Alligator mississippiensis: one gene and its partner. The protein of the gene in region 1 interacts with the protein of each later gene in a pairwise test. Links are inferred from orthologs where the notes say so. Each region holds a gene or a part of one and is shown on either strand. Other genes may lie near its edges.

The links. The genes of interacting proteins can lie anywhere in the genome.
Region 2: the proteins of FBLIM1 (region 1) and CUTA interact in binary tests that used the Homo sapiens proteins (3 or more experiments, as listed by UniProt). The two-hybrid records come from large-scale screens. The link is inferred for Alligator mississippiensis from reciprocal best matches to the Homo sapiens genes FBLIM1 and CUTA.

What each region holds. Positions count from the first base shown.
Region 1 is NC_081836.1:2,953,598-2,957,340, reverse strand, and holds the start of FBLIM1 (filamin-binding LIM protein 1), read right to left. Parts: upstream 2,833-3,743; 5' UTR 2,514-2,832; intron 370-2,513; exon of another isoform or gene 138-369; intron 1-137. UniProt on the Homo sapiens protein: Serves as an anchoring site for cell-ECM adhesion proteins and filamin-containing actin filaments. Is implicated in cell shape modulation (spreading) and motility.
Region 2 is NC_081834.1:64,880,693-64,883,723, forward strand, and holds CUTA (protein CutA), read right to left. Parts: upstream 2,249-3,031; 5' UTR 2,206-2,248; intron 1,999-2,205; 5' UTR 1,934-1,998; coding exon 1,916-1,933; intron 1,754-1,915; coding exon 1,605-1,753; intron 1,366-1,604; coding exon 1,306-1,365; intron 1,177-1,305; coding exon 1,131-1,176; intron 1,047-1,130; coding exon 997-1,046; intron 798-996; coding exon 695-797; 3' UTR 621-694; downstream 1-620. UniProt on the Homo sapiens protein: May form part of a complex of membrane proteins attached to acetylcholinesterase (AChE).

The DNA.
Region 1 (3,743 bases):
TGGGTACTGGAGAGCAGGACGGGGGGAGGTAGGGGAGGCATGGGAAACCATTTCCACATGTGCTGCTGCGGGAGCTCTCGCAGGATCCTGGGCTAGATCAGCCTAGAGCCTGACTGGTTTTCATTCACCGTTTTTAGGTCCTTTAACCACACTTAGGCCCACGCCACCCTTTAACCTCAGGAACAATGGCCAGGCCCATGCCACCCTCCACCTGGCTGCTGGGGTCCAGCCACTGCCGACCGTGCGCCAGACGTGGCTGCTCACAAAGCGTGACTAATGCCTCCTCCGAGACACAGGCTTTCCTCTGCACTTCCCGGCAAGGTCAGACACGATATAGCTCCGAATCATCAGGATGACGAAGTCCACCTGGTGAGCAAGCCTGGCTGCTTAACCCTTGCTGATCCAGGACCCATCCTTGAGAGGGGCAGAGCTTCTTGGGCACAGAGCTTGCTGGAATGGCAGACCTGGGGATTTCTGAGCAAGGGACTCGGCTGCTGCTGGTCCTTTCTCCAGTGCCCAGGGAAACGGGACTTTGCAGGCCTGCCAGACGGTCTGGATATGCTCGGTCCTGCCTCAGCGCAGGGGGCTGGACTAGATCAGGGCTGTCCAACTGGATGCCACTGCCTGTGACGGGAGCGCCAGGCTTGCACTGGATGCGTGCGCCACATCAAACTGGTGACCACAACTGGTGGCCACATGCAGCCTGTGCAGGGTTAACTCGCCTCTGGGTTTGCTGCTCCCTGCACTGCCCTCCTGGTGCTGCTGCCAGGGTCTCCGGGCCCCCCTTCCACCCCGCTCACGGGCAGGATAGCAGGACGCTGTGCATGGGGCTAAGGGAGTGGTCTCATGATCTGGGCCACACAAAATCTAAAGGTCCTTTCCAGCCCGTCTTTTCCACGACCCTAAGAGACACAAACCATCCTCCCGCTGGGACAAAACCCTGCATGGATTCAAGCCCCAGGCAAGCCTGGTGCTCCCGTCACGGGCAGTGGCACCTTTCTCCTAGCACAACGCTGTTCTGCACCCGGTCGTTTCCGGCACCCGGGCCTTTCCCCAGGCTTTTCTGCCTTGATTTGCAAGGATAAAAACTTTGCCCGAACATGCTCAGCCACTTTGGCAATGCTGGGATAGTTACGTGCCGCTCTAGCGAGATGGGTGTCCTAATCCCCACAGGCATCTCCACAAAATACCTGTGCAATGAATGGCTCTGCCTCCCAGGGCAGGAGATGCAGCGTGGCCCACTGCGGGGCATAGGCGGGGGCTGCTGTCTGCTCCCGATCCTGAATGCTCAGACCAGCTATGGAGCTACACCAAGTCTGACTAGCCAGCATCGGGTCCTGGCAGTCCCCCCAGGAGCTGGAGACTGCCTGCTGGGACCCCGATTCCTCCCCACCTCCAAGAGTCCTACCTCCCCTACGACCCCCATACAACACCCTCCCTTGATGACAGCCATGCCACACACCCAGGGGAGCAGCTGGCCAGGCCCACGGGCACTGCAGAGACCTGGGGTCAGTTCCCTGCTCTGCCACGGATGTCCCGCGGCCCCTGGGGCATGTCACTTAGTCTCTCCAGGCCTCAGCTGGTGCAATGGAAATGAGAGCAGCACCCCATCTTGCAGAGGATGTTAAAGACAATGGAAATCCTCCAGTGCTGTGGCCACAGGGGCCAGCTAACCTCTATCTCGGATAAGGTTTAGTGGCCCGGCAGCCACACCCCGCCAGTCCTGCTCCAGTTGCAGCGCTGCCAGAAGACGCACGGGTTTGGGGGAGGCTATCAGCTGCCCTCAGAGCCCAGCCAGTGACTGGCCCGTCACCCCCAAGCGCTTTACAGAGCCTGCTAGCTTGCCCGGGGGTGGGGCAGGGAGGCATTAGCCCCATTTTACAGACAGGGGAGTCATTTCAAGCTCCCAATGAAATGAAATTAGGTGCAGGGGGAGGAATCGGGGCTTCTCCCCCATGGCAAATGCACTGAAAACAACCGATATCCCAGGGACCAAGCGGCCAGGCTGGCTGGGCCCAGGAGCACGGTGCGGGGGCTAATGCAAACCATGTGCTGGCTGCGCTCCTCTTTGTGCCTGGCCGCAGAGCTCGCACCGTCACCCCCTCCTTGCCTGCCCGGGGCACCCCAGCCCAGCCCGGCCGGCGGGGTGAAGGCTGGTGGACCCCGGGGGAGAACGGGAGGTGCCAGGGCACCCTGTCCTGGTGGCGACGGTTGCAGGGGGACGGGGTCTCAGCCCTGCAGCGGGCGGAGGGAGGGGGTCCAGCTGAGGAAGGAGGCAGCGTGTCTTTCATTAGGAAGGAAGCTGGGCTTGCATCACCCCGCGCGGGGAGGGGGCGCTTCTGGCCCTCCCCAGGCCAGCACGCCTAGTGGTGGGAGCCCCCCGCCCCGGAGACGCAGGGCTGGAGGGGAGCTCCCCCCCCCCCACCCCGCCCCGGTGGGAAGGGAGCCGGGACGCACTTTCCCGTCTGTGAAATGGGGCGAAGAGCTCCCCGGGGCCGACCCGCGCCGCTTACCTGGGCCGGGGCCGCCGCGGGGAAGGCAGAGCCGGCAGCAGCATCCGCCCCTTCCTCCTCCTCCGCTCCCGGCCAGGCGCCGCCTTCCCGGCCCCGGCCCCGGCCCCGGCCCCGGCCGGCCGCGCAGCGCCTCCGCACCGGCTCCTGCCCCGTGCACCGCTCAGGAGGACGCCCTCCCGGCCGAGGCTTGGGTCTTCACAGCCTCCCAGGATGGGGATCCCACCTCCTGCCCGCCTAGGGAGGCCAGCCTTCCCAATGCTGCCCCTGCTGCTGCTGCTCCTTCTGCCGCCTGCCCGCGCCCGGAGCAGCCCCCTGCTATGCGAGCCCCCTCCGCCCTCTCTTTTCCAGCCCAGGTCCCGCAGCCTCTCCTCATAAGCCCCCCAACGCTTTTCATTGCCCTCCACTGGACTGTCTCCAGTGTGTCCCCATTTACAGCTGGGGAAACTGAGGCAGGAGTGCCCCCCATCTCTGCCATCCACCCCAGGTGGTGCCTAGCCTCTGCTGCCAGGCGGTGCTTTGAAGCCTCCTCCTTATTGACCCTCCCCATGTCTCATCCCTCTGCTCCAGGGCGCGGGGAAGGCAGGCACCTGGGAGTTGTTGGCCGTCGTCAGACCCCGATGATGCCGCAACCTCCACCAACTGCGGTCCGGTCCGCTTGGAGGGGAAGCGCCCTGCCCTGGAAGAGGAGAGAGCGGAGGGAGCCCAGCCTGCCACCCTCTCCCCTGCGGAGGGACCCACAATGGGGCCGTGGCCCTGCGGTCACCTCCAGCCCCATCTGGGAGCTGTGGTAGACATCAGCTACCATCGACTGGGAGCATCTCCATCCATCAACCGCCGACAAGGAGCATCTCTGCTCGTGCCCCCAAAATGTTGACCCCGTGGCTAAACCCACAGGAGCTAGGAGGCCCCGGTCCTGACCCTGGCTCGGATGTTGCCTCGCTCGCTGCATGACCTTGGGCTCGGTTTGGGGTCTGCCCCCAGCTGTGTCAGAGCAGATGCGGACCACAGCTGTCCTCTCCCCTGGCTGTAGAGAGACACAGGGAGAGATGTCTGGTCAGCCTCTGCCTAACAGGATTAATTAAATCATCTAATTAAACAAAGTGTTCAGCCACTTTTGTAAGGCTGGGTCTAAATCCACAATCAGCCACCCTTGGAAAGGCACCAGGGAGGAGGTGTCTGCCTTGGGCTAATTTTGAGAAGACAAAGACTATGGGGGCCCTGGCTTCTCCC
Region 2 (3,031 bases), on another chromosome or scaffold:
CCTGCCTGTCCTGGGGCTGGGGGCAGGGGCAGTGTTCCAGGGAGGTAGGAGGGGAGGGTCCTACCTCTTTTGGTGTGGACCTAGAGTGGGGGCTGGGGGCCCTACCTCCACCAGCCAGAGGCTTTCTGGTACTTAAAGGGTTTATTTTCTTGTTGCTTTTTTATTATTATTATTTTGTAAAGATTCTATTTAAAAGGAGGCATGCTGGGGGTGGGGGGCACAGCAGAGGGTTCAGTGGAGCAGAGCTGGGGGGCAGGGGGGACCCCACTGGGCCTGGCTGGGGTCTGGCAAAGAGGGTAGGAGGAAGGGTCCCCTCAGCACAGCTATGCCCCCGCCTGCACCCCCATGCTGTAGAGACGCCACCCGGACCTCCCCTCCCACCCCACCCGTGTGCCACCACTGCCGCCGCCGTCTGACTGTACAAACAGACACCTAGAATAAAGAGCTTGCTGCAGCCAGACTCTCACTGGTCACTGGGGGCTCCTGCATGAGAACCCAGGCATCCGGGCTCACTGTCCCTTCCTTCCTTGTTCTTACCCTACCCCTAGGCCAGCAGACCCCAGGTGCCTTGGCATGGACCCCACTAAGGCTACATGTGAAAGAGGGGCTGACTTGGCCAATACAAGTGTCTGCATGTGGTTTATTGCCTGTTGTTGCCCCCAACACACAGCTCTGGCTGGACCACTGGCAGGTCTTACTCAGAGGGCACGGTCTCCTGTACCCACTGCAGGTAGGGGGCATTCCCTTGCTGGATGGGAAGGGCGATCACTTCGGCCACCTCATATGGGTGCACGGACCTGCAGGGGGATGGGAGGTCAGAGTAGGGTCAGGGCTGAGCACCCGACCTTACCTAGAGCCCCAGCTTGCCCTGGGGCAGGGTGCTCGGACCCCCCTGCCCCCCAAACAGGTGCTCAACTGCTCCACCACTAGGGGCAGCTGCATCCTCCCTCCCTCCCTCCTCCTTCAGGCTTTTGCCAGATCAGCAAAAGCACTTACCGGACATATTCAGCCAGTGCTGGGATTCGGGAGCTCCGGGTTTTAATCATCTGGGGAGACAGAAGAGGGTGAGAGGGCACCTCTGGGCCCCGGTCCCAGTCCTAGTCTGGGCTCTGCACTCACAAGGCACTCACCAGCAGCACTTCGCTGTCCTCCTCTATCTTCCCCTTCCACTCGTATCTGGAAGACCAGGAGCAGCAGAAGCCAGTGAGCATCAGCCTCCGAAATACCCCAGCACCCCCTGGCCCTCACTCAGCATGGGGCTGAACAAGTCATCCCCCACTCCCAACTCCCATGCTTCACACTCACATGGATGTGATCTGCGGCATGATGTTCACGCAGGCTGCCAGGTGCTTCTCCACCACCGCCCTGCTCCACATGGACACCAATCAAGCCCACGACCCTGCTGCTGTTGCAAGGGATGGGCAGAACCCAGGTGCCCAGGCTCCCCCCCAACAACCCCAGCTCCCCCCAACCGCCAGAGCTGTTCAGAAACAGGCCCAGACCCCGGGCTCTTGCCCACCCGACCCCACATACTCTCCCCAGAGCTGGGCACAACCCAGGTGTCCCGGCTCCTGGCTGCCCCCCAGCCCAGACCGAGGGGGCACCTGGCGATCTCCTTGGCCACGGTCTCGTTGGGGCAGGTGATGAAAGCAGCCGAGAGGCTGCCGGGGGCGTAGGACTCTGCGGCCATGGAGAAGAGACGCTGAGACACCGTCCGGAGCAGCGGCACCATCAGCAGGGACACCACCAGCACCTGCCGGCCAGACGGGGCGGGGCGGGGCGGAGGTCAGGGCTGGTCCCGCGCCCCCAGGCACGGGCCCCGCACCGCCGGCTAGCCCCCGGGCAGGGGGGGCTGGTAGCAGCGCTGCCCCCCGGCAGGCGGCCCCCACGCCAGCGCCGCTGGGGCAGTACTCACGCAGCACGCTGCCTTCATGGCGGGGCGCCGGAGCGGGGGGGCGCCGTCCCCTCCGGAAGCATCCGGGGGCACCAGGCCCTGCCCTGCGGGGCAGCGGGGCAGAGCCTGGTCAGACGGCTGCGGCCGTGCCCCTGCACTGCCCCCGGGGCTGCCTGGAGGGGACGGTGCAGCGCGCCCTGCGCCAGCCCCAGCCCCAGCCCAGCGCGCCCCAGCTCCGCCCGCGGGGGACAGCGCCCTCTGCCGGCCCGGGGGCTGGGGCTGAACCCCGCCCGGCCCCGCACCGCTCCTACCCGCTCGCGGCTCCAGCGCGGTCTGGCTCGGCCCCGCCCCCTCCCCCCGCATATGACCCCAGCGCCTCCACGTGGCCGCCCGGGCCCGCCCACCCGCCCGCCACGTCACCCGGCAGGTCCCGCCCCCCTTCGCCGCACCGCATCGCACCGCCCTCCACCTAGTGCCGCCCGGCTCTGGTCCCCGGTCCGGCGTCCGGGGCCCCGGGGCTTGCCCTGCTCCAGGCCCTAGGTCTGGCTCCCAGTCGCCCTTCCCCTGCCCAACCCCCACTCCTCTCCCAGAGCCGGGTGGGGACCCAGGCGTCCGGACTCCCAGTGTCCCCGCCTCTCAATTGCCCCCCATCTGCAGCCTGCCCCCCAGCCCCCTCCCGCCTGCCCTACCCTGCGCCCCCACGCCTTGCACGCCCATGTCCCTTTGCACACGCGTGCCACACGCTGCATCAGGAACGCCTGTGCCTGCTGGAGCCCGGCGGTGCCCTAGAAACGCCCGTCCCGGTCCCCAGAGCCGGCTCTCCTGACCCACTAACGGGAGCCGTTACACAACGGCGCACGGCGGGGTCAGGCCGCCCCATCACACCCCGCCGGGGAGGGCCTGGGATGCGGCCTGGCCCAGGCCCTCTGCAGTCTCACCCTCTGCCGGCTGGCCCCTTGCCCCAGGGGTAGTGGCATTCACCCCCTCAGAGCGCCTGGCACCCTCCGGTGGCCCAGCCCCCAGGTCCTCACCGCTGCCCTGTGAGCACACGTTGCACGTGTATGCACGTGGGCATCACACATGCACCGCTGCACCCCCAACATGTGTCTGCGTCCACACACCCTGAGTGTCTTTGTC